5 linked regions of the Tribolium castaneum genome follow. The main gene of each other region encodes a partner of the protein of the gene in region 2 in a complex. Links are inferred from orthologs where the notes say so. Each region holds a gene or a part of one and is shown on either strand. Other genes may lie near its edges. The genes, in order: zinc finger matrin-type protein 2, Smu1, Mfap1, beag and Prp38.

The links.
Region 1: Smu1 (region 2) and zinc finger matrin-type protein 2 share a complex: the UniProt entries of both Homo sapiens proteins name them as parts of the spliceosome B complex. The link is inferred for Tribolium castaneum from reciprocal best matches to the Homo sapiens genes SMU1 and ZMAT2.
Region 3: Smu1 (region 2) and Mfap1 share a complex: the UniProt entries of both Homo sapiens proteins name them as parts of the spliceosome B complex. The link is inferred for Tribolium castaneum from reciprocal best matches to the Homo sapiens genes SMU1 and MFAP1.
Region 4: Smu1 (region 2) and beag share a complex: the UniProt entries of both Homo sapiens proteins name them as parts of the spliceosome B complex. The link is inferred for Tribolium castaneum from reciprocal best matches to the Homo sapiens genes SMU1 and IK.
Region 5: Smu1 (region 2) and Prp38 share a complex: the UniProt entries of both Homo sapiens proteins name them as parts of the spliceosome B complex. The link is inferred for Tribolium castaneum from reciprocal best matches to the Homo sapiens genes SMU1 and PRPF38A.

What each region holds. Positions count from the first base shown.
Region 1 is NC_087395.1:20,716,113-20,721,216, forward strand, and holds zinc finger matrin-type protein 2, read left to right. Parts: upstream 1-2,251; 5' UTR 2,252-2,368; coding exon 2,369-2,968; 3' UTR 2,969-3,017; coding exon of another isoform or gene 3,018-3,083; 3' UTR 3,084-3,125; downstream 3,126-5,104. Other genes in the region: uncharacterized protein LOC656218, read right to left, coding at 3,018-3,083, 3,131-3,323, 4,373-4,478, 4,535-4,864, 4,920-4,965; transmembrane protein 59-like, read left to right, coding at 5,045-5,104. UniProt on the Homo sapiens protein: Involved in pre-mRNA splicing as a component of the spliceosome.
Region 2 is NC_087397.1:5,006,788-5,013,440, reverse strand, and holds Smu1 (WD40 repeat-containing protein SMU1), read left to right. Parts: upstream 1-2,269; 5' UTR 2,270-2,422; coding exon 2,423-2,448; intron 2,449-2,499; coding exon 2,500-2,710; intron 2,711-2,758; coding exon 2,759-2,873; intron 2,874-2,917; coding exon 2,918-3,336; intron 3,337-3,593; coding exon 3,594-3,817; intron 3,818-3,862; coding exon 3,863-3,964; intron 3,965-4,008; coding exon 4,009-4,192; intron 4,193-4,239; coding exon 4,240-4,392; intron 4,393-4,447; coding exon 4,448-4,546; 3' UTR 4,547-4,598; downstream 4,599-6,653. Other genes in the region: tau (microtubule-associated protein 2), read left to right, coding at 1,081-1,260; zinc finger protein OZF, read left to right, coding at 4,875-4,982, 5,028-5,334, 5,383-5,565, 5,611-5,789, 5,842-6,184, 6,228-6,356, 6,404-6,588, 6,637-6,653. UniProt on the Homo sapiens protein: Involved in pre-mRNA splicing as a component of the spliceosome. Regulates alternative splicing of the HSPG2 pre-mRNA. Required for normal accumulation of IK.
Region 3 is NC_087397.1:4,120,764-4,127,205, reverse strand, and holds Mfap1 (microfibrillar-associated protein 1), read right to left. Parts: upstream 3,408-6,442; 5' UTR 3,289-3,407; coding exon 3,219-3,288; intron 3,112-3,218; coding exon 1,850-3,111; 3' UTR 1,382-1,849; downstream 1-1,381. Other genes in the region: Dcr-2 (Dicer-2), read left to right, coding at 1-1,184, 1,231-1,381. UniProt on the Homo sapiens protein: Involved in pre-mRNA splicing as a component of the spliceosome.
Region 4 is NC_087401.1:16,336,685-16,343,377, reverse strand, and holds beag (protein Red), read left to right. Parts: upstream 1-2,431; 5' UTR 2,432-2,729; coding exon 2,730-3,435; intron 3,436-5,203; coding exon 5,204-5,943; 3' UTR 5,944-6,425; downstream 6,426-6,693. Other genes in the region: macrophage migration inhibitory factor homolog, read left to right, coding at 1-19, 69-241, 289-370; macrophage migration inhibitory factor homolog, read left to right, coding at 810-917, 965-1,137, 1,182-1,260; chromobox protein homolog 3, read right to left, coding at 1,490-2,017; eIF3c (eukaryotic translation initiation factor 3 subunit C), read left to right, coding at 6,681-6,693. UniProt on the Homo sapiens protein: Involved in pre-mRNA splicing as a component of the spliceosome. Auxiliary spliceosomal protein that regulates selection of alternative splice sites in a small set of target pre-mRNA species. Required for normal mitotic cell cycle progression.
Region 5 is NC_087396.1:19,986,749-19,992,054, forward strand, and holds Prp38 (pre-mRNA-splicing factor 38), read right to left. Parts: upstream 3,088-5,306; 5' UTR 2,922-3,087; coding exon 2,454-2,921; intron 2,408-2,453; coding exon 2,012-2,407; 3' UTR 1,959-2,011; downstream 1-1,958. Other genes in the region: vacuolar fusion protein MON1 homolog, read left to right, coding at 288-583, 630-827, 874-1,117, 1,163-1,876; CycT (cyclin-T), read right to left, coding at 5,200-5,306. UniProt on the Homo sapiens protein: Involved in pre-mRNA splicing as a component of the spliceosome.

The sequences.
Region 1 (5,104 bases), on a different chromosome or scaffold from region 2:
GAATACCTATCTTTTTGTACAGTTTTCTGCTGAATTCGAATCTAAAGTTACTTTTTTGATTTGGAATTGCTTTTATTATGAAAAACTTGTTTTTGAAGAGATTTTCGTTTTCATCGTCGTATCTTTATCCTTCGGGATAAAGATAGAAACTATTTTTTGCAAAAGATTCTCAATGAATGTACTTTTTAACATAAATAAACAATTTTTAGTTTTGAGAAAAGAAAACTGGGAAAATTTATAAAATTATTTTAATTTTGGTGGATGCGCCGGGTCAATTGCAATAACTTTGTTAGTGTTAAAGATATCAAAAGGATTTTTGGGCCAAAAACATATTTAATCAATTGGCATAATTTCATTTCGATTATGTATAAATAGGTCTATCTTTTAAGACAAAAAAAATTCTCGCATCTTGAAAATTTCACTACAAAAATATGAAACGTTACAAGAAAAATCCAATTTTCTTAGTTTTCTTTTGTCGAAACTAAAACTTGTGTTTTAGTTTGTGTAAGTAATCTTTTGCAAAAAAAATTTTTCTTGCTTTATGCAGAAGGAAGATATGACCATGTAAACACAAAATTTTACCAGTTTTAAGTTTTTCGAAAATGTTCACATAATAAAGGCAATTCCATGCAGAAAATCGAACTTCGGATTCGAAATCAGCAGAAAATTTTGCATAAGAATCAGTTTTAAAAAACGTATGTTCTCTAACCTACACGGACAAATAAATTATTAACTATTGCGCGCTACTGATGCTGACGTTGAGTACATAAAATATGTGACCGCAAATATGCGACATCACTTTTGCCCTACCTTTTATTTCGTTTAACTGAATAATGTAAGGTTTACTTAACTTTTGAAATTTTGAAAAATTATTTCGAACAAAATTTTTTTTTTAAATCGTTACATTTTTAAAGTAGTTAATGATGTACTAATTAGTATTTTTTGTAAGGTACATAGTTTACGCACAAAACGCTTGATTTAATACTTTTGCTCAACGCTGCATGTAATATTGTATCAAATAGATTTTGATTACAATCTTTATAGTTTCGCCATAATCGGCTTTTTAAAATTGATATTTTTTTTAATATCACCTTAATCACTAAATATCACCTTGTTCCACTAAAATTTTTTGCAACTTTGCATTTTGCATAAATTGCAAATTTTAAAGTTAATGTCTTCCACCAATCTTTGCATTTGTTTTGGCATATTTTTGTAAAAAGAAGTATTTTTGCTAAGTATATTTTTTGCTAAGTGTGCAAAATACTGTTGTTGGTGGAACATAAAGGTGTTCGGGAACGTGCAAGCGCAAAGTGTAAAAGTCGTTTGTGGAATAGAGCCCACATCAGAATTTTCTGATAATGTAATAATAATAATATTACTCAAAAGTTGGCAACAATCGTATAATTCTATGTTAGCAGTTACGGTTTTAAATATTGAAAGAATTTTATCATATAATAGAAAATACACCTTGAACTTTATTTTAAAAAATTGGTTTATAATGTTTCACAGCAATTAATACTTGACCACATTCAAAATATCAAATGGTAGCGTAATTAATTGTCTAGACTAAGAGCGCCGGTTTACAAAACATTTTAATTGCAATTAAATTTTAATCGCGGTTAACTCGACATTTGTCAATGTATTTAATGCTACTTAATTTGAATTAGTTTAATTTTGAATTAAATTCAATTTGATTTTTTGTAATTTAAATTAATTTAATTTATTTGTACTCGACTAGAATATTAATTTTTGCTTCGACCATAAAACTTGGAACACTCTGTATAATTAGTTGCGTAGGCTGCCATTTGAATATTGTGTTGCCTACCCAAAATAATAATTTGTTAAAAATTTAAATTTTTTGAGTTATCCACTTTTTCTTTGGTATTTATAACTTATAACTAACTCATAACGTAGTGGTAGTTTGAACAGCCACAGACTGAAAAATTGCAAACGAAAGATTCTGTGAATTAGATTTTAAAAATTAATAAAAAAATTGAAATAAATAACTAATTGTCTTGATTACGGGATTTTTTTGATCTTTTCCCATCTTAAATTTTTAAACAGGTAACCCAGCTAACTTCGTTAGATGTAATAGCAGAGTCGAATAACCAAAAAATTAAAAAATCTATTAAGTATTCTATGAGTTTAATGAATTCAATTGTAATAATCTAATGATATATATAAACATCCTGAATGGCGCAAATTCGCAATTTATTAGAAAATGAACCTTTATTCTTATGAAGTTAGCAACATAACCTAACCTTGAAAATTTGACAGCTGTCAATGTGTACTGCAGTTTGTCAACACTGTTATTGTACTTGAGTTTTTATTAATTGATTGTGATCCTGCTAAAGAAAAATCATCAGAAATGACTATGCGACCAGACGACCACCGCCGAAAATGGGACAGGGACGAATACGAGAGGTTAGCCGAGGAGCGCAAGAGGGAAGAAATCGAGCGCCTCGAAGAAGAAACCAAGAAAAAGAAAGGCCCCCCGGTGAAACGTGAAATGCTAAAAACCCGAGAGTATAAAGTAGACCTGGATTCAAAGCTTGGCAAAAGCATTGTAATAAACAAAAACACACCAACATCACAATCGGGGGGCTACTACTGCAACGTCTGCGACTGTGTTGTTAAAGATTCAATCAACTTTTTGGATCACATCAATGGCAAAAAGCATCAACGAAACTTGGGAATGTCGATGCGGATCGAACGCAGCAGTCTGGACGCAGTTAAACGAAGGTTTGACCAAAACAAGCGGAAAATGGAGGAGAAGAAAAAAGATTACGATATGGCAGCTCGCATGCAGGAAATTGCCGAAGAAGAGGAAAAGCTACGCGAATACAGGAGGGAGAAAAGGAAAGAGAAGCGAAAAGCTGAGGAAATGTTGGAAGAAACATCTGAACAAGCAAGTGAGCTTGCTAGCATTATGGGATTTGCAGGTTTTGGATCGTCTAAAAAAAAGTAGCAAAATGTCTTTCAATACCTTTATTACAATAATTTAGATTTGTTGAAGTTTAAATAAAAATCAATATTATGCTAACTAGTAAGTGAAGTACAGTTGGAAGAATCATTGTGTCAGCCTGTAAAAAATAATTGTAAATGAAATAAATGTGAAGGAACAAGTTGCCTTATTTTCTTTTTTCATATATTCCTCAGGCATTGGGTCCTTGACTTTGGGCGTCTCCTTCACATTGTCACAGCTTATTGTGAGAATACTGTCAATTATCGACTGTAGAAGTTCTTTAGTTGTTGCTGCAGCGCTGTTTCCACACACTTTCGCAGTTTTGATGTAATAACAGTCAGCTATGTCTTTGTAAGCCCTGAAAACAATTAAATATTTGATCAAAGAAGCCCATGATGTTAAATAAGTTTCGTAACACTCAAAGGTAACATGTAAGTACTATTAAATTCAAATGTTAATTATATTTTATTAAGTTGCCGTTGCACCAAACTTGATTGCATATTTTCAACTTTTTAGCTCCAAAACTTGTTGAAGGCTTGAAAAAAGTAAAAACAATATTTTTGGCTAATTTGGCGATTTTTTCAAAGTTCGTAACGAACTTTTCGATGTAATCGCGTTAAAACGCAGTGGCGTGTGGTGTGAAAATATCTTTATTTTTTGTAAAAATGAATTTTACTAAATTCCATATCGACCACTTACAAATAAACCAATGAAATGTCTTTGACTTGACGTCATGCTTTCATGTATGTCGTATCAGAAATGTTTTTCCCCGGATTGTTAAAAGAGTTTTTTGCTGGTTTAGTGCCAGAACAACAGAAATTGGAGTTTTATCGAAAGTGAATGTTCAGAAATGCTAGATAAGGTTCTTTTGAAAACTATAATAAGGTTAATGTTTGTAGTTATTATTTTAATTATAAGTTTGGTCATAGGTTTAGTTTAGTTTAGTTGCGTGTTAATTTTAACAGGTGACAGAGCTCTTTAAATTCATTTTTTTTCTATTTTAAATTTTTCAATGAAGGTTTTGCAAATTTACTTAAAATTTGTAAAATATTTCCACAGATTGCCTTAATCTTTGATATTACATACAGAAACGTGTACCCGCGCTTATGAGTACAAAAATAAAAGCGCCAAACTATTTTCGTTGTGATAGAAATCTACATACAATTTATATCAAATATGAAAACTTTTGCTCTGGATTTAAAAATAATACAAAATTAGTTATTAAACACTGACCGGCTTGTTACACAAAAAAGGAGGAAAAGAGGAAAATAATAAATAAGAATTTTTGACATATTTGTCTCAGTAAGTTAACGGTTCCACACAAAATTATACATCATGCTATTATGTATTTTAATTTATCATATTTTTTAGTTACTTTTAAACAGCGAATTTCATTTATGCACTTACTTGCAAACTGCGGCATTGTCTGAATTTTCGTTCCAATCTGCCGGTCCTCCACAGTCCTCCAAATCATTTCTGAGCTCATGAAGGCATTTGTGAATTTTCTCAAATTCTGTTAAATAATTAATTAATAAAAATAATTTCCCTGAATAATCCATTTTCACTTACGGCTCCTGAACGGAGATTCTGTACAAATCTTCTCATGCAACGCCTCAACTCCTTTGATCAATTGCATATACAAGTCAGGCTGATTCGGGGGAGTACAGGTTTTGAGGTACGCCTTGATTTTTTCCAAATTTTCGGCCACGCGATTACACGACGGCTTAATATCGCCCAAAGTGGCCAACTTCACTATACTCTCAGGGTTGATCACTTGAATTTCGGCTAGAAAATTCATTAAATCGTCTTCGTTGCAAGGGGCACTGTTGTCATCTCGTTCAAAGCGAGTGTGTGTGATCTCATCGTCGCTCAAAAACGAGGGCCTATACACGCGACCACCTGGAACAAGTGTAGTCAGTGGTTTTCGTGCAAGTTTTGTGGTTTTAAGGCTCACAGAGGGAGAATTTCACCAAAAATAACAAAAATAGCGTTTCGCGCATTCTTTCAAATTCGGTGACAGATAGAGGGCGCCACCGAAATTGTTTACAAATTTTGACAGCCGATAGAACAAATCCCAGAATGTGGAAGTTTTTGTTAATTTTTGCCTTAAAAACCGCAACTTCTGATGAAATTTTTACA
Region 2 (6,653 bases):
ATGTCCTTTTGAAACTGTAGTTGTACTTTTCGTACGTAAACACAGTTGGGGCTTTTTATGATAGTTGATTTCGTTGATTTGCTAGCTTTAGATTTATTAACATTGACGATTTTGTGTAGAACTCCTTGCCGTCCCAACCGGAAGCCGGAGGTCCAGTAGCTGATGAAAATCTCAACCAAGAACGTTAATTTGTTATTTTTTAATTAATGTGCCGTCTCTAAACCTATATTAGACCAGTTGATACTTGGATATAGTTCTTTAACTACCGATAAACATGTGGTTGGAATACATTTGAGAAGTAACATTAACTTACTGATACAGCATGAGGCCCGTGTTCGAAATGCATGTATTACTTGGAGAATAATAAATTGTATATTCATAGAGTATATTTAGATTCCACTAACACTAACACTGTATTTTCCACTAAAATGCTGAGGTTCTAGTGTCACTTTGCTTAATTTTCCTTTCATTTCGAGTAAAATAAGCAAATGCTGTTCGTTTCAAGAATATATTTTTCAATGTAAAGTAATATTAATGTACGATAAAATAGTTTGGTGTTGTGATACCTAGAATAATGACCAAACGATCAACATTTTTGTACTGTTTATTAAGGTTGAAACAAAATTATTTCCTCTAGTTTTAATTTACATTTGTAGTTGATAGCGTTAAAATTGTGGTTATTCGTTGTAAAAAGCTTATCAAAACGTTTTATCCTTTAAGCGAGAAATCTTTCATTTTGAAGCGTTTTGATACGTTTCAGTTATGCTGTTTCCAGTAAAAATATTTTATTTTGTTTTGCAAAATAGATGGTATTGAGTATATCATCACTGTATTAACTTTATAAGAAGCATTAATAAAATGTGCATTAGTATATAGTAGCAGCTTTTATTTTCACCAATTTTTGCACCAACAATCACACACGCTGCCCAAAACACTGAACACAAGCCGAAATGCCTTAGGTAAGTTTTGAATTTTTTATTTTTTACAGTCTAGCCTTCTCAAACGAAATTGAATATTTTATTACTCCTGAAAATGTCACTGCTTTTAAACATAAGCCTGAAGATAAATTCGTATTTTTAGAAAATTGTATCCAAATCAGCTCGTGAGAGATATTTTGATCCAAGTGAAGAAAAAGCAAGAATTTTGGAAACTGTGAAAGAAGAGGTTGCTCGAAAGAATCGTCCTACTTCAGCATTTTGCAGGAGTGGGTCACTGAAAGTTAAGAAAAGTGCAACACCTCGACCACCGTGGAGATTTTAAATCGCTTAACGATTTTTTTTATTTTTTTAAATTTCTTTATTAAATGTGCTGCTTTATTTAATTCAATATCCGATCTAAAAATTCATTAGGCAACGCATTTTTGTACTATAATTGAATTGTATTGTCCAACAATCATGCAGAATTTTACATAATCTAATATTTGTTGTCAGTTTTTAAGTAAATGGTTGTTGGACTATAATATTGTACCAGTATTAGTTGTAGAAAATTATTTAGGAAAATTAGGAAAATTACAAAAATTAGTTCATTAACTGCAGTAGTCAGGAAATATAGTGAGCGGCAAAAGCGGAAAACAGAACGTCAAATAAAAAAAAGACGTTAAAAAAAACTGAATTTTTGAGAATTCTTTTGCTGGTCATAAATCTTGTACTGATCATAGTATCAATATTAAGAAAAAGAAATAACCAAATACTATGTAAAATTATATCATTAGAACAAAATTTTCACTTTTATACAATGATATTATTAATCCACAGTTTTCACAATACCACGTACAAAAAAAAAAAAATAGTTGTGTATATATTAAATACATTTAGATATTCTGTTTAAGCAAGTATGTAATGGTAAAATTATTATTGCTTATGTACTTATATTTTTTAGAAACATATGTGGATTACCATAATTATTTGTTTAGTGATTATTTTTTTAGTTTAATATTTCAACTAATATTAAAAAGTTGATTGTCCCATATTGTTTATGGAAATAGAATTGTCTTAGTTAACGTTAAATAAAAATTATCTTGCACATATTTTCTCTGATACTGACCAAACTCCCACCAAAAACAACCCCTATTTGTGGGAATTGGGATTAGAAAAAACAAAAGTTGGTCTGCAGTAAATAATTTTCGAGAAAAACTCGTTTAAATAAACCGTTAAATAAGTAGGGCTAGTGGTGAGGTGACCGCCCTAACAATATATTAGGCAAAAATAAAAAATAAAACTGAAGTTGTTTCAAAAAATTTTTGATTTGGCGACATCTAGCGATTTTGTGTTGTAGTGGAGACATTAATGTCAAAAACGTAAGTTGGAGTTGTCAAAAAAATAGGATCATTTTATTTGCAATTTAGCACTTTTTTGTCATTTGAAACGTGATTATTAGCACAAGAATAATAACGTAAAGCCTCTGAAGCCACAACTCCTAAAATATGTCTATAGAAATCGAATCTGCGGAGTAAGTACGACATAACCAAACAAACAGTGTTATGTTTTTATTTACTTGCAGCGTAATCCGCCTAATTCAGCAATATTTAAAAGAATCTAACTTATTAAGAACTCTTCACACACTACAGGAGGAAACTGGTGTAACATTAAACACTGTAGATAGTGTTGATGGGTTTTGTGCCGACATAAACAACGGGCATTGGGACACTGTTTTGAAAGCGATACAGTCCCTTAAACTCCCTGATAAAAAATTAATCGACTTGTACGAACAGGTAGACGCCAAATTATTCAACTAGTTCGCGAAACTACAAATTTCTTAGATTGTTTTAGAATTAATTGAACTCAGAGAGTTAGGAGCAGCCAGATCCCTACTCAGACAAACAGACCCCATGATAATGATGAAGCAAAACGAGCCCGAGCGTTACATTCACCTAGGTACTCAACAAAAGTAAACACTTCAAAAATAACTTTTTTTACAGAAAATTTACTCGCTCGTTCATACTTTGACCCCCGTGAAGCTTATCCAGACGGAGGCAGCAAAGAAAAACGCCGTGCTGCTATTGCTCACGCCCTTTCAGGGGAAGTATCAGTTGTACCATCGTCACGTCTTTTGGCCTTACTTGGCCAGGCGCTAAAATGGCAACAGCACCAAGGCTTGTTGCCTCCTGGTACCACAATTGACTTGTTTAGGGGCAAAGCTGCCATCAGAGACCAGGAAGACGAACAATTCCCAACTCAAATGGCCAAACAAATCAAGTTTGGGCAAAAGTCGCACGTGGAGTGCGCTCGCTTTTCACCAGATGGACAATATCTGGTCACAGGGAGCATTGATGGGATTATTGAGGTGTGGAATTTCACCACCGGGAAAATTCGCAAGGACTTGAAATATCAAGCCCAGGTAACAGTTAATTCTAATCTTTAAAAACTATTTTCAAAATTCTTTTATAATTTTGTTTATATTTTTTGTAGATTATTCTTAAATATTGTTTCTATATACTTCTGTACATTTTTTTAAGATTTTCGTGATTCTTTCCTAAGCCATAAAGACTGAAATCTAACTTTATAAATTCTTCTTTAGATAAAAATATTCTTCTCAAATAGAAAAAATTAATTAACATCAAAATATAATTTTTTTTTCGATTACATTTCGTTTAGGAGAGCTTTATGATGATGGAACATGCAGTATTATGTATGGCGTTTTCGCGAGACAGCGAAATGTTGGTAACTGGGTCACAGACCGGAAGAATCAAAGTTTGGAGGATTAGCACGGGCCAGTGTTTGCGAAAAATCGAAAAAGCTCACTCGAAAGGTATCACCTGTTTACAGTTTTCTAGAGACAACAGTCAGGTTCTAAGCGCTTCGTTTGATCACACTATTAGGTAATAATTTAAAATCTAGTGGCGCCAATTTTACGGTAATTATAGATTACATGGCCTAAAATCTGGGAAAATATTGAAGGAGTTTCGTGGGCACACTTCGTTCGTAAATGAAGTTATTTTCACTCAGGATGGTCATAACGTTTTGAGGTATTTTTTAAACTTGTGTCTTCTTTTAAAACATTTTTATTTAGTGCTTCTTCTGACGGAACCGTTAAAGTGTGGAGCATCCGAGCTGCGGAATGCATCAATACTTTCAAATCTTTAGGCGCGGGCGATATCACGGTGAATAATATTCACAACTTTGCAAAAAATCCCGAACATTTTGTTGTCTGTAATCGCACGAATACTGTAGTTATTATGAATCTTCAAGGACAGGTAAATTGTGATGTTACCAAAAACATAAAAAATTCATTTATTGATAGATTGTGAGGTCATTCGCAAGTGGTAAACGTGAAGGTGGTGATTTTGTATGTTCAACAGTGTCACCAAGAGGTGACTGGATTTATTGCGTCGGGGAAGATCTAGTCTTGTATTGCTTTTCCACAAATTCTGGTAAACTCGAGAGAACTTTAAATGTAGGTTTTTCACCAATGGTTTAATACAATTGTGGTTTACTAATTTTTGTTCCAGATTCATGAAAAAGACGTTATTGGTATAGCACACCATCCACATCAGAATTTACTCTGTACATATAGCGAGGACGGACTCGTGCGTTTGTGGAAACCGTAATTATTGTAATTTTGTAACGTTTGTAATCCTAAGAAATAAAGCGTAAATTCAATTCAGTTTTTTATTTTCACACCCAACTGAAGTCACCACATGTGACGCCACCTCACGGCGTCTCTGTAAAAAAGTAAAACTTCTAAAAAAATCGATAAAATATAACAAAGCAATAAATTATTATTTAAAGGACAAAGAAATTTCGAAATCTGGGATAAACTTAAATAAAATCACTACAAAATATAAAATAAAAAGAAAAATACCGATCTGTCAGTGTCACTGTCACTTAATATAACCTCAGTTTTCAAGGGAACACATTTTTTCAAATATTTTAAAAATGAAATTGGATAAAATTTGTCGCACGTGTTTGCTCGAAAAGGCCAGTCTGAAGCCGTTATTCGGAGCTTGTGTGGCCAATATGTTAATGTCGTGTGCCTCAATTCAGGTATTTCATTCACTTTTTTACTTTATTTAAACATGTGTCCTGAAGGTAATTGAGGGCGACGGTCTCCCCTGCCAAATTTGCACGCAGTGCTTGCAAATGGTAAACAGGGCTTACAGTTTTAAACAGCAATGCGAGAAATCCGACGCTTCTTTGCGACAATACATAAACAGTGTCGGTCTGCAAACTGTGTCTTTGCAAGCAGAGCCCAATATAATGATCGGTGATATGAAAGCTGACCAGTTATTCGGCAGCAGCGAGGTTTTACAACAGTCTTCTATTTTCCAAGATATTTTTAACGATGCTACGTCGCATTCCCTGGTTGATAACTTTACGAATCAGAATGATAGCACAGGTATCGAACTGTGCAAACATAGTTGGCAGTTTTAATCAACAGTTTTAGTGGTGTCTGACTTGGCCGAGACCATGCAAAGTCTCCAGACTATCGCAGAGCAGTGTTTGCCAGAAACGTGGGAAACTGATACCCAAATAATGTCCTGTCAGAGCAACTCGCAAGAAACGAACTGCAGTACTTTTGATTTATCGAATTTGTATCGGTGCCAATTTTGCGAGGATATTTTCAAAGGTGTTAGTTTCACCCACTTCTCATTTTATTCATTCTGGTTTGTAGATGAGTGGACTCTCGGCGAGCACATTAAAATCCACACAGGTCAGAACAAATATTTCTGCTCCATTTGTGGAAAAGGGTGCACGACCCCTGCCTTCTTAGAAAAACATATAATGGAGCACTCGCTCGATAAAAATAATACAGAAGAAAAAAAATTATGTAACAGTAACTACATGTGCAATGTAAGAGCGCCAGATATTTAAATAATTCAAATGTTAATTTGTCATTTGTTAGATCTGCGATCGGACGTTTAGTGACCACAAATTCCTCAAAAAACATTTGAAAGAAATTCATTTTACGACGCTTGATGACGATTTGGCCGACGTTGAGCGCAAACACGTCTGCACAATTTGCAACAAAAGTTACAAACAGAACAAGCTCTTAGTCATGCATATGCGGTCACACACGGGCGAACGGCCCCTAAACTGCGAGGTTTGCGGGCGAACTTTCGCTCTGCCCAGCTCCTTATACAAACACCGAAACATCCACTGCACTGAGAAAAAATACGGGTGCAACATTTGCGGGAAAAAATTCAACCAATCGTCGAACCTTACGGCGCATTTGCGGACCCACACTGGTAACACCTGACCCAAATCCGCCTTTTTTAATTGTTTTGATAGGGGAAAAACCTTATATTTGCAATCTGTGCGGGAAAGCTTGCGCGTCCAGCGTCAACCGTGACATCCACATGCGGACCCACACGGGGGAAAAACCCTACAAGTGTGCTCGTTGCAGCTGCGCTTTTGCAAGTAATTTCTAAGTCAAGTCGAGACAGTGCCACAATTTAACGTTCCAGCTAGCACTCAGCTGAAAAAGCACAATTTGAAGCATACGGGGGAAAGACCGTACCATTGTTGGCAGTGCGGCAAGTCTTTCAGACAGAAAGAAACCAGGGACACGCACGTGCGCTACCACACGGGGGAACGCCCCTACGCCTGCACCTTGTGCCCGAAAAAATACATCGCGGCGAGTCATTTGAGGGTAATTTTTGCACGTTTGTTTTGATTGTTAATTATGTGTGAGTTTTAGGTGCATTTGAAAAATCA
Region 3 (6,442 bases), about 890 kb from region 2:
ATTATTTTCAAATTTCCGACCTACAACGAGGGCAAATCGACCACTCTCAAAGGGAAGCTGGTCAGCAACAAGAATTTGTACTACTTGGGAGTGAGGAAAAATCTGGGCGGTATTTTGAAAAACAGCGACTTGTCCCCGAGCGATTGGGTCCCTCCGTGCTTTTGCATCCCACAAACAATCAGCAAAGCAATCGGCAATAAAGAGTATTCAGTAGTCTCGTTATTTAACTGTTGCATTTCGCCGGAGGAGCAAGTTTCAGGTAACTTGAACCGAAAGACTTTGAGCGATATGACAACGGAAGAAATTGCCCCGGATGAGGAAAATTCGTACGGCAATATGTGCAACTTTTTGAACAAACAATACGTTGGTGATAAGAGCATAGCGGACTCTGTTGAGGCCCTCCTAGGCGCCTACTTTCTAAGTGGCGGGATTCAAGGCGGGATCAAATTCATGGAATGGATCGGCATTTTGCCCCTTTCTGAACAAATCCAACGCCTGATCGAAACCACTCAAGTCGACCCCGTCCTCAATAAAAAATCCACGAAAACTGATGTCGATTTCCACATGCCACAGTGGCGCGAAATCGAGCAACGTCTCGGTTATACGTTTACCAACCGGGCGTTTTTACTCCAAGCTTTAACTCATTCTTCCTATTCGCCGAATCGCATAACACTGAGCTACGAACGGTTGGAGTTTCTTGGTGATGCTGTGCTTGATTTCCTCATCACGTGTTATATTTTCGAACATTGTGGGCATTTGGAGCCGGGTCAAGTGACCGATTTGCGGTCATCCCTTGTCAACAATAACACGTTCGCAAGCCTTGTTGTCCGATGCGGGTTTCACAAGTTTTTGCTCATGATGAATTCGAATTTGCAAGGTCATATTGACAAGTTTGCCGATTACCTTGCTTCAAAAAATTACGTGATCGACGATGAAGTTCTGATTTTGTTGGAGGAGGATGAGATGAATATCGCCGAGTACGTCGATGTGCCTAAAGTTTTGGGTGATATTTTCGAAGCCCTTGCTGGCGCAATTTATCTAGATAGCAATAAGGATTTGAAGACTGTTTGGAGGGTGTTTTACAAGATTATCTGGCGCGAAATTGATCTTTTTAGCAAGAATGTGCCAAAAAATGTCATCAGGAGATTGTACGAGTGCCATACTGTTTACCCTCCGCAATTTAGGTAAGTTGTGTTGCGTTTGAGCCTTGATTTATTTTTTCTTTCACAGTAAAGCGTTGGAAGTTGGTAATCAAAAGACTATGGTTTCTTTAGACTTTATGTGTGAAGGTAGAAAGAAACGAGTTCATGGGTTTGGAACGAACAAAATCTTGGCTAAAAGGGCCGCTGCCAAAATTGCTCTTCGTGCTTTAAAGTTGTAATTAACGCACGAAGTCACAATGCGCTTATATTGATTCAGTTACTCGCTAGGATTGTTTGAAAAATGCTGTTTTCCATTGTTCAACTATATACCGTCAGTTAAATTCATTCGCTTTGATACCTATCACAAAAATGGTGAATTTAACTCACGCTGATAATTAAGTAGGAGAATTTTTAAATTACAGCCAACCTTTAATTTGTCATTAGGTGGTTCCAAAAATAATTCGTTTTCAAATTAAAACTGTTTCAAGTTAACCACTCAACCGCATTTTAAAACTGACTGGTTAACATAAAACTGTTTAATTTAAAAACTGTTGCGAACTTTAGTCTATACTTTATGATGATGTTAATTTACTTTGTATATTGCTTGAAGCTTGTATGAAAGTGTGATTTCCCTATTACATTGTTCTTTAATTGATGAATAAAAATATATATTTTTTGCATCTAAGTCTAGTGGTTATTACACCTTACTACTGCGTTTTCCTTTTTTTCAACGAGGGTTTTTCAAAGACTTGCTTGACGCCCCCTGCTTGTGTCGAGTGAAATTTGAGATTTTGCGAGGTTTCACTTGACCAAGGTGAATCGAAATGAGTTGTGTCTTGATCCACCAAATGTGTGTACTTCGTTCGTCCAGACCGTCCGAAATTTTTGACTTGCATAACTTTCGGCAAAATAGTTTTATCGAAGTGATCTTCCAGAGTTGCTTGTGCGAAATCTCTCTTGAAAACCTCGTCCTCCTTATCAAGATAGAACGCACCACGGTGGTAATATTTCTGCAAGAATTTGTACTTCCCCTTGATGGCTTTGTTTGTGACTTGTTTGGGGTTTAGTCTCAGCTCAAGCCTTCTCTCTTCTTCCGTCATGTTCCTCAATCGTTCGACTTCAAGTCGCTCTTTTTCAATAGCTTCGCGTTCTTCGCGATCTCTTTTGATTCGCTTCAACTCCCTTAGTTTCCAAGCTTCGTATTCAATTTCGTCGTTTTCATCGTCTGTGCAAACGTCGTTAAGGTTGGGTTCGTTATTTTCTTTATCTTTCTGTTGCTGTTCCTTCCTGATTGTTTCCTCAACAAGACGTAGCGTTTGTCGCCGCCTTTCTTCCGCATTTCTCACAGCTTCCAATTCTTGCTGCTTCTGCTTCTGTACCTCCTTTTCTTTTTCTATGATCGTGATCCTGTCTTTCTTTCTTACAAAAATCGGTTTTAATCTGGGGCCAGTCTCCTCCTCCGAATCTGTGTACTCTTCATACTCTGACGATTCTTCCGACGACTCCGACTTTTCTTCTTCTTTCACCATAAACTCCTCTTCCTGCTTTTCCATCATGCGTTTTTTCATCATTTCTCTGCGTTTCTCGATTTCGCTATCGCTAAGCTCCACTTCGGACTCATCATCGTCAGGAGCCGCCTCCAGTGTGTGTTTATGTTCGGGTAAATTAATTTGTTCCTTTTCGGATTCTTCATCAGACGATTCCAACACTTCTGGCTCCACAACGTGACGGCGGCGTTCTGGCCTCACTTCAGTTTCAACTTCTGCGATTTTCAGACGACGCAAACGGGGGTCATTCAGTTCGTCATCGCTGCGTGAAGGCTCCGGCGTTGGGGGCTGTTGGGGCTGATTGCGACGCTCCAGGAAATCGTCGTCGTCGCTGTCGCTGCTCGAACGCGCGTCTTGGGCATAATCGGGCTTCTTTCCAGACACGTAGCGGTGCACCTTCACCTTTTGCATCGAAATTTCGCCTGGAAATAGGCGGAAACGGCTCAGAAGGCATTTTTATTTGTTACAATTTTTTTATTAATTTTTGACAATGAGGTTATAGCCGTCATAGGTAAGAAAGATATTTTACCTTTTTCGTTGCGAACGGGAACCGCACCCGCAGTACTCTGGATGCCATAATAGGGCTGGGGGTTCATCATTGTGAAAATCGACTATTGAAAGTCGTTTTTAATTCTAAAATAAACGAAAATTGTTTTTGTGCCACAACTTTACATTTGACAGTTGACAACACAGGTTGACAAGTGACAAGCATAGAATTGAAAAATAATCAATGAATTATAAAAATAAAATCAACCGGTTCGAGAATTTTTTTGATAAATGAACCAAAAAAAAATTTTGTTCGTAACTGATTTAAACTCAGCGCAGAGACTTGATTGCAAACATAAATAAATAAGGTGTAATTTTGGTTGTATAATAATCAAACCAATATATTTTTTATAATAATCGCAATAATTAATACAGAATCTATGGATTTTGCAACTTAGAATTTTATTATATTGTATTATCTATTGGTTTTTATATGTTAAAACTATATCGTGTTTCTTTCTAAATGATACGTGTAGAAAATGTGTTCCTTTTATCAAACAAATTACAAAAAATTGTGACTTTTATTGTTTAAATTGGTAATAAAGAGTAAACGTTTTTTTTTGTTTATACGTTTCATTCGAAAGTTATTTGGATTGTTTAAACCTGTGGGTAAAAAAAGTCGAGGGCCACCAACGTAAGAAACCGAAATGCAAATTAGCTGTTGCCGTTGGGTTGGCAATACCACCTGTTGATGCTGAATCAAGTTAAATCTACGAAACGCAAGCGTGGAAGAAGACGCGGCGAAGCTGTGTTATTATAATTTTTACGCGATTGTGCCAAAATATTCCAACATTATGAACAAATAGAGTGGTTGCGGGTGTATTTTCTGTGTTGTGTGCATTTTATGAGTTACAATAATTGGATTACAAACGGCAACACAACTTGTACCAAGTGGTAAGTGTGATGGAAAGAACCGTCTTTGAAACCGTATTTTCGGTTATAAACCATCCACCGGTAACCAGCGTCTGGTTTACCGTTTTGGTAAAGCATTTTCGAGTTGGCTGGTCTTGGCTGGCCTCGATGGCAGCGAGTTGAAGCGAGTGTCCATTTGAAAAACCGCTGAAAAATCGAATAAATGGGCTATAATTTGCGTAATTGAAGCCAATGCCGGGATTGTTATTGTCAAGTGCGGATAAAAACAGCAAAATAGGCGCGGCAAATTCTTGTTTCTTGTATGTCAGCACGATCAAGAAGTCTGTGTGGAGTCTGACGTTTAGGCAGGGCATGCTGCGATGCTATTATGCAAAGTATACCAAGAATCACTGTCTATGGGGCTACCAAAGTGTTATTTATCTTTCGGCCTGCAGACGATGACGTCGAGATGGATGTGATGGGAATGGGTCAACGACACCCGGAATGCCCCCCTTTTCTTTCCCGGAGTTTTCCGGCGATTTTTTCGGGTCCGGAGACGACGTGTCAAAGGTCTACCGGTTATTAGAGACGCGGATGGAATTCATTTAAATGTATTATCGGAGATCGCTCAGAATCAGGTTTTCTGCTGGTGTTTGCTGAGCGATATCTGGGTCATTAATTGTATTTATTTGCCAATTTATAAAAACAAAACAAGGAGGACACTACAGGGAATCAACTGGGTTTTATTACTCGTTAACTGACACCGCTATGCAAAAATTGTGAAAACGCAGTTGACGTCATTTCCCATAAACTCGAAGGTGAAGTAGTTTTACTAACATTTCACAAATAATTGAATCGCATTTTACCAGATGTGTGTAAGGTTTCTAAACATTTTCTCTTCGAATCCACAAATCCGCAAATTAAATTAGTAAATTACCCTGAAAAGCACAAATGAATCTTACTAATTCTTTTAAAATTATCGTTTTCCATAACGAAATTAGCACAGATTCGATAATATTGCAATAAAACTGCATTTATCTTAGACAAATAAATAAGTAATAAATGCAGTTGTTGTTGTCAATGTTTTGTTATTTAACACAGTACCTTATCATTGTAACTTAAGAAGACTACAATCATAATAATGTCACCAAAAAAAGAAGCAGGAAGAAAAGAAATTCTAAGAAATTTTCAAACGCTTATCTCTATTTAAATATTTCATGGCTCTTCGAAGTATAAAAAAATAATTAGGTGTGTTACTTCGCTTAATAATAAAATATGTACATTTTAGGTGAAATTATTTACTTGACATGTTGACAGTCTAATTCAGTCCAGGTTTGGACTTTAATTTCATGGCCAACCGGGTTCCAGTACGTGTGAATGGGTGTAAAAATTCGGTAGCAAACAATGAATATATTATGTTTTGACTTCCCATTCCTAATTAGAACAAATTATAAGTGAATAGTTTCGTTATTGCGGTCATTTACCACTCGAAGAATGTCTTTTATATATTTACCAATTCATTAAATAAGCATTAAATTCAAGTCTTAAACGGGTATTGTTCTTATTCGGTTAAACTTTCTATGGAACTTAATGAATCAGGTCTAAACTAAATATGAGGAATTTAGCACGATTTCTATACACTTTGAAATTCTTTTTGCAAGGTTTTACGGCGAGACTTTTCAAAACTAGAAGTTAGTAGCGAGATATTTTGAAAACAATGCTCGCTTTGCATTTCTTGGCGGCGTGAAAACTAAATTATTGTGTTACGAGGATGCGGATATTTGATTATGACGTAACAGTAATTTTGATGTTCCACACTGTGTGTATGAATAATGCATTTTTCCTTGTGTATGCAAAAACATTGCAAAATGAGAATTGTGTAAGACTATGTAGACAGAAATTCAAGTCGGTTTCTCCTGTTTTCGTTTTTTAAAGTGTATAGGTGCAGTTCATTATTATTTAAATGACAAAGTCGCCAGCGATACTTTCTTCAGGTTTATTAACACGAAACCAAATTAAATATGGCAATGATCGATGTTTTCCGAGAGACTTGAACGCTCGACTAGAACACGAAAATGTCGATTTTAACACACCTTTAATACAGTTGTCATTTTAACACTAACATACATTTTAATTTTGTTGTAGGTTTGTTGTCAATTGTTTGCATTGCATACAAAGCAGTATGATTCACTTGAACGTGTTTTCAAATTAATATTCTCGATCTTGATGGCATTTCATTTTATATATAGACCCACCTTCAAGTGGGTGTGACGGTTCGTTTAAAAAAATATCGCCCCTTTCGAAGGGTGAAATTTTTTACCTGGAGTCTCATTTTATGGACGTTTCGGTTAAAAG
Region 4 (6,693 bases), on a different chromosome or scaffold from region 2:
CTTGTCGAAACAGCTCAGTGTAGGTACAAGTTCAAGATTTTCCGAATATTCTTACATTTATTTTTTAGTATTGTTGTGTCACTGTAATTGGGGACGTGAATATGTGCTGGGGGGGCACTAGTGAGCCCGCCGCTCAAGCCACCTTGATGAGCATTGGCTCCTTGGGCATAGAACCGAACAAAAAACATGCCAAAATTTTGTACGAAATTCTGTGCAAAGAGTTGGGAATTGCAAAGGACAGGTTGTGGTTTTAGGGATTTTTTTGAGTTTTTTTTTTTTTGGTTTTAGGATGTATATTCACTTTAACAGTGCACCGCCCAGTGAAGTGGGCTATAATGGGACCACCTTTCATGACATTTTTGGAAAGTGATTGTTGATTACCCAAATGGTCTTGTTTGTTTCTTACAAATAAAAAATATTGGTATTTTGTTTACAACGTTTTTTACCCATATACAGACTGTCCCAATATTAAAAAAACACAAAAGTGAGATTTTTTCAAATGGAACACCTTAATTATTGGACGTAGCTTTTAATAATAAGGAAAAAAAAGGTAAAAATATAGTAAAATTGCGAATTTGCCGCCATTTCAAACACTACAACATGGCTGCCCGTAATTTGAAAAAATCCAATTTTAAAATTGCATTTTTAGGCCCTTGTGCCCCTATTTTGAATTCCAAACTCAAAAATTCAAATTTCCTCAACAATACACTTTTTGTATAAATTCCCGCCCCCCCCTGGGAGGTCACCCAGAGGTCAATTCTGACGTCCATTTCTAGGTTATAAAAACACCGCCAATTTTTTTCCGCAAAATGCCTCACTTTCGCGTTGAGACAAACGTGCCCCAGAGCAAAATCCCGTCCGATTTGCCTCAGAAATTGTGCCAAGTTGTTTCAAATTCCTTATCAAAGCCACTCAATGTAAGTTTGAGGTTACGTCAACTTTGAATAACTCAATTTTTTTCAAGTATTGTGTGGCTACTGTGATCGGAGACGTCCACATGTCTTGGGGGGGCACCAGTGAGCCCGCCGCTCAAGCCACTCTGATGAGCATTGGCGCCTTGGGCGTGGAACCAAACAAAAAGCACGCCAAGGCTTTGTACGAAGTTGTGTGCAAGGAATTGGGGGTTTCGAAGGACCGGTAATTGGGTCTTTGGTGTGGTTTTGTACTTTTTGTGTTTCTAGGATGTATATTCACTTCGTGAACGCGCCGACTAGCGATGTGGGGTACAATGGGACCACTTTTCATGATATTTTCGGGTGATAAGTGATAACGAAGCAATGGTGTTTTGTTTTATTTCAAATAAAAAAAATTATTACAATTTTCTATTGATTAAGTCAAGAAACTAAACTTACAGCTAGGGAGTCAGATTCAAATAATAATAATACGGGAAGATTCTAAACGCCTACTTAGTCCAAATGATTTTTTCGTCTAATAATAGTATATAATTCGTGTTGAATATGTACATTATGAATATCCTTACAACTAGCCTTCACTCGGCTTTATTTTCGTCATTTGTGGGCGAATGCCAAGTGAGACGCTCTTCATAGAACCTAATGACAACTTGGGGGCACTTAATATTCGCCTGTTTCGCGGGCACTAAGTCCGCCTCATCTGTACCCTCCCACTTCATGAGGAACATCAACTGCCCGGAACTATCCGTGGCCCCGATTATTTTTTCGGGCTCTAGCCCCCTATCAAACCCGTGCACTTTCTTCTCGTCGTTCTTCCTCTTGGCCCCCTTCATGTCGGGCGTCGGCGTGCTGTTCATCTTGCGCTTCTTGCTGCGCTCCTTGTCTTTGTTGGCCCTTTCGGCCTCGAAAGCCGCAATCAGCCCGGGACAGTCCAGGTTCTCCTCGGGCTCCCATGTGTTGTCCTTGTCGTCGTAACCGATCCATTTCAAGTAGTATTCCTTAATACCGGCCGCATTTATCCGACTGTCGATTATTTTCTCCACAACGTACTCTTCGTTGGCCTCTTGGTCTGCGGGGGAAGGACTCGTCCTCTTGCTTTTGCTCATTGTGCCCTGATGGAGAAAACACACTGTACACACCGGGGGGCGCACGGGGCACACTTACGCCGAATTTTACTCAACTTTGGAGGGATTTCGTGCAAGAAATTAAAATAACTTCAAAAGCCGCAAAACAGACGCTTTGCTCACAATTTTCAAACAAACATGGCGGAGGTGCGCTCCGCCGGTAACAAGCAGGTTCCTACACCCCTATTTACTAATTTAATGAATTAAAAGCCCCAAATAGTGATATTTCCGGTGAATTATTTATTATTCAAGCCGTTTGCGTTTATTCACCGTAACGTAAAGCCCCCCCAGTATGAAAAAAACGGTGGTTAGGCGCCCCAACTGAATCTGCACTTTTTGGTTTGAAACTTTGATAAATTTTGTTTGCAAAAAAAAATACGTGTAGGTTTGCAAAAATACTTAATTAAATAATTACTAAGTGTTAGTTGTGGGACAGGGTTGGAAAGTTGTTTTTTTTTTAATTTTTTCTACGTGTTATCGACAAGAATTTGCTGTTTTTCCTTGATTATTTTGGTTAATTATTCGCGATAGTAATTGTAGTAAATGCAAAAAGCTTGTTTTTAGCATTTTGGGGCTATTTGGTCTCATTTGAAGTGGTTCACTGTAATTTTTTTCTGGCTAGGAGGAAGCAAGGTTATGTGATTGACAGTTGACAGTTCTAGTTGCAACATTCAGGCCCAGTTTTTGGTTAAAAATGCCTTCGGACGCGGCCCCCGGGTCGCAGCGGCTGACCAACGACGACTTCCGCAAGTTGTTGATGACCCCGCGGTCGGCGCCCGCGAACGCGCCCGCCCCCGGCTCCATCCGGGAGGCGATGGCCAACTCGTCGACGATGCCGCCCCCCAAAGACGACAAGAACGAGGCGCGACGCAAGAAGAAGAGCTACTACGCCAAGTTGAAGAAGCAGGAGGACAATAAGATGGCAGAACTGGCGGAGAAGTACCGAGACAGGGCCAGTGAGCGCCGCCAGGGGGTGAACCCCGACTACCAGAGCGACGACCCGGTGGCCACGGCTCAGGCCTATCGTGCCGTGGCGCCTGATCTGAAGTCGGGGTTCGATGCGGCCGAGAGGCGCCGACAGATGATTCAAGAGAGCAAGTTCTTGGGGGGCGATATGGAGCATACGCATTTGGTGAAGGGGCTGGATTATGCCCTGTTGCAGAAGGTGAGGAGCGAGATACAGCACATCGAGCAGGAGCAGGAGCAGGAGTTGGAGAGGCTGGCGGCCAAGACGGAGGAGAAGGAGAAGAAGGAGGTGCAGAAGAAGGATGAGGATGAGCTTAAGTTTAAGACGAAGATTGGGAAGTCGATTTACCACACGATTTGTGCGCTGAAGAGTCGGCATATTGAACGGTCGGAGATTTTTGTGCCCGGACGCATGGCCTATGTGATTGATTTGGGTATAGATAAATTTTTTTCTTATCAATTTTTACACATAAACTACGTATTATAGATTATGTCTGAAATTTTCAGCTGTTCAAGCCTGTAATTCTTATAGACATCTTCTTAAGTTTCGTTTAAAACATTTTCAGATATACCTTTTTATTGTTTCTGTACTTTTTTTTAGATTCTTTTCAAAATCACAAAATTTTTGTGATTTTTTCTTAAAGAGGTCTTTAGATCTTAAATCAGCAAAATTTTCGTTTAGATTCTCCTCTCTTGCTTATAAGAATTCTTCTCTAGTTTCTTTTATAATATTTCTTATTTATTTTTTAGCATTGTTTTTGTATTTTCCTTTAGATTTTTTTAAAGATTTTTGTGATTCTTTCTTAAAGAGGTCTTTAGATTTTAAATCAGCAAAATTTTTCTTTAAATTCTCTTTTCTCGCTTATAAAAATTCTTCTCTAGTTTCTTTTATAATATTTCTTATTTATTTTTTAGCATTGTTTTTGTACTTACCTTTAGATTTTTTTTAAAGATTTTTGTGATTCTTTCCTAAAGAGGTCTTTAGATTTTAAATCAGCAAAATTTTCCTTTAAATTCTCTTCTCTCGCGTATAAACATTCTTCTCTAGTTTCTTTTATAATATTTTTTATTTATTTTTTAGCATTGTTTCGGTATTTTCCTTTAGGTTTTTTTAAAGATTTTTGTGATTTTTTCCTAAAGAAGTCTTTAGATTTTAAATCAGCAAAATTTTCCTTTAAATTCTCTTCTCTCGCGTATAAACATTCTTCTCTAGTTTCTTTTATAATATTTTTTATTTATTTTTTAGCATTGTTTTTGTACTTACCTTTAGATTTTTTTTAAAGATTTTTGTGATTCTTTCCTAAAGAGGTCTTTAGATTTTAAATCAGCAAAATTTTCCTTTAAATTCTCTTCTCTCGCGTATAAACATTCTTCTCTAGTTTCTTTTATAATATTTTTTATTTATTTTTTAGCATTGTTTCGGTATTTTCCTTTAGGTTTTTTTAAAGATTTTTGTGATTTTTTCCTAAAGAAGTCTTTAGATTTTAAATCAGCAAAATTTTCCTTTAAATTCTCTTTTCTCGCTTATAAAAATTCTTCTCTAGTTTCTTTTATAATATTTCTTATTTATTTTTTAGCATTGTTTTTGTACTTACCTTTAGATTTTTTTAAAAGATTTTTGTGATTCTTTCCTAAAGAGGTCTTTAGATTTTAAATCAGCAAAATTTTCCTTTAAATTCTCCTTTCTCGCTTATAAAAATTCTTCTCTAGTTTCTTTTATAATATTTCTTATTTATTTTTTAGCATTGTTTTTGTACTTACCTTTAGATTTTTTTAAAAGATTTTTGTGATTCTTTCCTAAAGAGGTCTTTAGATTTTAAATCAGCAAAATTTTCCTTTAGATTCTCTTCTCTCGCTTATAAAAATTCTTGTCTAGTTTCTTTTAGAATTCTTCTTGTTCATTTTTTAGCATTGTTTTTTTACTGTCTTTTAGATTTTTTTAAAGATTTTTATGATTATCTCCTAAAGACTTCTTTAGATCTTAAATCCGCAATTTTTTTTATATTCTCCTCTCTCGCTTATAAAAATTCTTCTCTAGTTTCTTTTAGAATTGCTCTTATTTATTTTCTAGCATTGTTTCTGTACTTCTTTTTGGATTTTTTAAAGGTTTTTGTGATTCTTTTTTAAAAATTTTTACATGAATTTTAATGTTAAAATTCCTATTAATTTAATACCAACATGACTATTAAAATTTTATTTCAGACGATGAGGCTGAATCAGACATTCCAACAACTTTAATCCGTTCAATCGCCGACGTTCCGTCATTTGAACTCACCACAACCCTCACAACCAACGACATTGTCATAAATAAATTAACCCAAATTTTAAGTTACTTGCGCCAAGGCAACCGAAAGAACAAAAAAACCAAACGGGGACTCCCCGAAAGTCGCGAAAACGAACAACCGGAAGAACCCGAACCGAAAAAAACAACAAAACGTACAACCGGTGATGACTCCATCTATGGAGATATTGGTGATTACGTACCCACAAGAAGTGGTAAACATGGAAACTCGTCACGTGACCATAACAAACACACGTACTTTGATAAACAAGAGGAAGCGCTTGAAAATAGCGGACCGACTTTCAAAGTCAGTAAATCGGCACAAATCCTTAATAAACTGGCTCAAGAGCCTGAGGGATATGCTGAGTGTTATCCCGGATTGGAGGAAATGAACGATGCGATTGATGATTCTGATGATGAGGTTGATTATTCTAAGATGGACTTGGGGAATAAAAAGGGGCCGATTGGACGCTGGGACTTTGACACAGCTGAGGAGTATTCCGATTATATGAACCAGAAGGAGGCTTTGCCGAAAGCAGCCTTCCAGTACGGCCTTAAAATGGCAGATGGGCGCAGGTCCAGGAAGCATAAGGATAAGAACGAAAAGGCGCATTTGGACAGGGAGTGGCAAAAAATCCAAAGCATTATCAAGAAGAAATAATTTTGTTGTGTATTTAGGAGATAAATAAGTTAATTTAAATAAAAAATATATATTGGAAATTTGATTTTCTACAACTTTGTTCCTTACTTTTTTGTCTTACTATCGAGAGTTTAATGCTCTATGTGCCTGTATTTTTTCTTTGCTATCTGCTAATGGAACAAGTGCGCTCTCTGGTGACAATAAAGGAACTACCGAAAACGCGAGCGTTTCATTTGTACGTCTTTGGTATCTTAACCGTAGAATCCTTACTTTTGACACAACTTGAACCTAAATACCACCACCTAACCCTGGCTCTCGACTTAAGGGCCCTTTCGTGCCCAAAAACAAATTAATTTGCCCTTTTTTTACGATATTACCATAACACTACCAATCACAAGACAAAAAAGTCCCGATTTTGACAGTTGGCACAAGTTTTTGGCCATTTTGTGGTTACAATCGTGTCGGAAAATCTGTTAAGTGAAAAAAAGGCTTTAAACACGTAAGTTTTGCCTCTTTCACGTGTATTTTACCTTAAAATTGTGGTTCCGACATTTCTAACTATAATTTTGGGGAGTTCCGTCTCCAAACATGAACCACATGGGCCCCAGTAACTAGCTTTAAAGTAGTCTTAAATTAAGTTTTCGGTCTTCATTTGGCCCAAAGAAGCGAAAAACCGTTACCTAACGCCAATTTAACGCCTAGTTATTGCGTTATTTCACGTAATTTTTTTGAGGTTATGTCACTTTGTAGGTAAAAAAATGAGTCGTTTTT
Region 5 (5,306 bases), on a different chromosome or scaffold from region 2:
CACAATAACTACGTATTTAAAAAACTTGGAAAAGCGGAAACTCAATTAATATAATAGTTGCTCTTAACTTGTTTAACCACCTTAAAGCCCTGCCTTAAGAGTTTTAGTTAGAAGTATTAGTTAGAAGGTTGGCACCAAAATTGACAACTGTCAAAAAAATGTCAGGTTGAGGTTAGAAATCAATCAATCAAAGAGCAATGCATTGAAATCTCAAAAACCCAACAAAATTCCGACGATTTTTCAAGAATGTTCGTGAATTTCACGTGAACTAAAACCCCCAACAAAAAATGTCCTCGAATCTGGAAGTTGAGCCGGGGGCAGCCTCCGAGAGTGTCCTTGTTACCACCGACTCCTTTGACAATTTTGATCACATGAGCTCGAGCCTCGAAGAAATCAAAAACCTGAATGCACTCGCGGAAAACGACTCAAACGTGGAAAACAGCAACGTCGAGAATTTTGACGAAATCAGCGAGAATCTCTCAATTAACAACGAAGAGGACGATTTCGTCCAGTCAAAGGAGTGGGCTTGTAAGAACAAACATGTCTTTGTCCTCAGCATGGCCGGGAAACCCATCTATTCGAGGTTGTTATCGTTTGCATAATTTTTTTCTTTACAACTTATGTCTCAGATATGGAAACGAGGATAAGCTAGCCTGGTTGTTCGGTGTTATGCAAACACTGGTTAGCTTCGTACAGTCAAATGAGGACACCATTAGGAGCATCCATGCCGGGGACACGAAGTTTGTCTTTTTAATTAAGAAACCGTTAATTTTAGTCGCCGTTTCTCGAACGCAGGAAAGTGTAAATCAGCTGTGTTCACAACTAAAGTGAGGGTTCCCACTTTGTTATTTTTTCTAGTTTTGTTTATTGCAGCTACGTATTTAATCAAATAGCCAGTGTCTTAACCTTGACTAGACTTAATAAAATTTACGAGCAACGCCAGAATTATGACTTAAGACGGCTTCTGGCAGGTGTTGAGAGACTCATTGACCACTTGCTAGATTTCTCAGAGAAGGAGCCTTCGTTCACTTTGGGCGCAGTCCAGTGTCTGTCACTTGCGTCCTCAGTGAGAGACAACATCAGCTCGGCCATTGTCGGAGCTTGCAGCAAAATTAAAGTAAAAAAATTGTTTCAAAAAACATTTTTAAAATATCGTTTCCAGAACCTAGTTTTCGCAATACTTCTCGCAAACAATAAACTTATCACTCTAGTCCGCATGAAAAAATATTGCCTTCACCCGGCCGATCTCCATTTAATATTTAACTTAGTCCAAGCCTCCGAAAGCCTCAAAACGGCTGAAAGTTGGACACCGTTATGTCTTCCACGGTTTGACGCTAGTGGTTTTTTATACGGACATGTGTCCTACTTGGCTGAAGACTGTCAAGCGTGTTTGCTCCTCCTGACGGTGGAAAGGGACGTATTTTTTGCCCTAAGTGAGGCGAAACAACGCATAGTGGAAAAACTGCGACGCAGCAACTGCTTAGAAGCAATCAATGAGTCGCTGAGTGCGAAAGAAGAAACTTGCATTGTTGCGGGTTTCCCCGAACTTAGGCACTATTTGTACAAATGCAAAAGTACAGCACAGTTCTACCAACCAAGCTTGACCCCACCGTACACCAAATATAACGAGAGACTAACAAAGTTGTACAAACGGGCGCATAACTTGTTGCATTGCTCGACGAGGCCGCTAAAGTTGTTATTTGAGAAAAACTCAGACGAGGCGATTTTGGCGTGGGATACGAGAGGTTTTGAGCTTTATGTAGTTTTCGAGCCCTTGATTGACACAAACAGTGCGATTAACTCAGTGGGGCGGCTGCTGAACTGGATTAAGAAAAGGGAGGAGAAGTTGTTTCATCTCAATGCGCCCACTTTTTGAGCCATTTGATTTGTATATATTATAAATATGTAAATTTTGTGGAAATCTAAGGTATAGGCTTAATCTGTGATATTCACAATCCTAAACTTGTTGATGTATTTAATTATTGATTGTATAAAACGATGTATTGAAAAATCAGTGGTGTCTGTCTCGCTCCCGTTTCCTGTCTTTATCCTTACGATCTCGCTCTTTTTCGCGGTCTTTCTCCCGGTCCTTGCGCTCCTTCTCCCTGTCTCTTCTCTCCCTATCGCGCTCCTTCTCCCGGTCGCGGTCCCTCTCCTTGTCCTTCTCCTTCTTGTGGCGTTCCTTACTCCGACTGCGATGCCTTTCTCTGGATCTGCTGCGTTCCCGCTTCCTCTCCCTTTCTTTCTTCTCTTTGGGCTTTTCTTCAACCAACTCGTACTTGTTTTCTTCCTCAAGTTCAATCTCTTCGTCCAAGTCGTCTTCAAGGGCCGAGATCTTGGCTTCGAGTTCGTTGCTTTCTTCCAAAACAATGCGTTTTTGAATGCGTGGCAAAATAACATCACAAACCTTAAAAATTAATTTTACTATCTACCGTAACAAAAAAAACACGTACTCGTTCCTCTCGTAACAATTCGTCAATAAACTCGTCCATGTGTACAATTTCAAACTGCGCTTGGCGATTTTGTCGCCGCAACTTCCTGTTGTCGTTGTACAAAGGCTCAAGATATTTGTAACAGTCTAAGGACGACCCTGTGAGTCTCATGTAGAAAGCACCGAGGGCTCTGACGTATTTAAACTCCTCGTTTTTGATGAATTCAACTACAATGTCTTTCTCTGGTTGAATTTGTAGCATTTTTAGTGTCAAACATAAAAATGGTGTTGGCTTTATATTGCCACCATAAACACCACCCACAAATCGTAATTCCATTGCCTTGTCTACTAAAAGCTCTGCAGTGAGGGCAAAACATTCCTCCTTCCAGTATTTAGAGTCATAAATTCGCGATCTGATGATCTTTTCAACCAGATACTGGGGATTTGTGCCATGGATTGATTTGGCATCTTTTACGGTCCTATTTGCCATAATTGGCCTAATTTAATTTGTAAACTCACTAACGCACCTTATGCACAACTGAATTCGACAGAAATGCACAGTTTATCAATAAATTCTAAGAAATTGTTGACGCTTGTAGTAAACACAAAGTGAGGTTAAAAATGGTTCGCTCTTATCAGACTTTTTGCTTTGCATTGTGAAAAAAATTACAGACAAATAATACTGTGTGAATAATCCAATTAGGAAATACAGGCTAAGGTTATACATTACAAAATTAAACAATAGTACACGTATGAAACAATTTAGTTCTTCAATAATAAACAAGTTTCACGTTTCCCGAATTTCTCATAAAAACTTATTTGCTAATATCGTCTAGTCCCCAGGCGTGACTCGCGGGTGGGAATCCCACAAAAAGTGCCAACCTTTGGTAACTTTGGTTATTACCACCAGACACCATTCTAATTTAAACATGAACAAACGCTCATAATTTAATAAATAGTATTTATGCAAGTAGAAAATTATTAACGCATCCAAATGAGCGTATCGATGGTATTGTTAAAGATGTAAAATTGCTTTTTGGGGGATTGGGTGATTCAAACACTTGCGATCGTTTTAAAAACTTTATTGATGACATTGAGACAGTTAGGCATTAGCTTTATTTGTCTATTTTATGTTTGTTGAGAAGTATATTATAAATTTAGTGTCTATTTACTTATTACTTAACACGTTCACCACCTCGAAGTGGAGTAAAATTGAAAATCAACTGCTGTAGAAAGTCTTGCAATGTTTGTATTGTGGAAAACAGACAATAACAGAATGAGTGAATACAATAACAATAACAGTGAAACACAGGCAGCAAACGTGTGGACTATATACATAAGTTATTTTTCGAAGAATTTTTTGTTTTTATATTTTTTTAGATTGTTTAAGCCCGATAAACATTCCAACTAACTTAAAAAGTGGGCGTGAATATTTATTTCCAATGATTTAAGTTTTTTATTTATAATATACGTTTGTAATACAATATAAAATAATGCTCCTAACACACTCGTTTTTCTCATTTTTGTTTAGGTACAAGTTTCCAGAATTGCAGTTTTCGTATATATCGTATATTAATAACAAAATAATAAATACTTATCAAATAAAATTTTAACTATTTACAATTTATCCCTTAAAAATATTAAATTCGTTAAAATATTTGCAAATTTTTGTATACATGACGAATCCAACACATCCTAAGATTTCAGTCCATTGGATCACAAAGTTTTACACTCAACTATGCTAGAATTTTGTTTCTAATCAGTCGGACATAAGCAACAAAACCAAAAGAAGCACAAGAAATACACTGAACATAAAATGTCACACGCATGTTATTGTTCCACATGAGAATGATGTTTAGATGTGGTTACATGAATCACCTAATGACCAAAATGCTGTACAAGACAGTTGGCACTATCTAAATATAACAAGATTTAGGCCGAACTTCCTAACAAGAAAAATCGGGGGGAATAATGGCATGACTGCAATATTTTCGCTCGCAGAAAAGCCGCTTCCACCCGTGATAAAATAAAACTAAACGAATTTCACTTTTGAGTATTTATTAATAACAAAATGAGAGGTCGTACAAAATAATTTAATTAACAAAATAGAGTAACAGTATTGCAATCAGCCATTACATTATATAAACATAAAAAATCTAAAACATTTTTTTCTAAATTAAAAAAAGTTTTCTACTATATACATTAGGCTGATTTTAACACATGATAGTTAACGTTTGTCGCAATTACTACGATGAACTCTTGTTGATATACTTAGATTCGGCCAACCTATGTATGGACGCATCGCCATCACCCAGTTGTGTCACCTGCAAAGCACCAAATAACCATATAATGACCTTGCTAGGTCCAACATTCACACGTAAGCCGGTCACGTTAGTAGTGGACAGAGTTAGTCATGACCATGCAATGAGCGTCACAAAAACAAACAGAAAATGAAAACACATGCACAAACTACACAAGTCACGTCAAAAAAAGAATCTCCTTCATTGTCGACTTATTTATTGAATTAATAAATAAAAGAGTGTGTTAAGACTATAAAAAGTGCTTAAAATTACAAGATAAACTACATAGATACAATTCAACAAAGTAATATCTACCAGAAAAATAACAAAAACACGGTACAATCCTAAGTATAAATCGATAAAAAAATTGCACTCTTATAAATTATTTACAAATTTCTCTAAACCCTTCATATATCACGTCATCTTAACTAGCACGAGGTCCGAAATCGTGTCTCTAAATCGCACACATCACTCCGGGGGCGGTGGGGGCGGTATGTCCGGCGGCGCGTCCATCGGCAGGGGCGGGTTGGACCCTGCCGGGGGCGGCAGCGGCGGCGCCTGCTGATACATTTCCG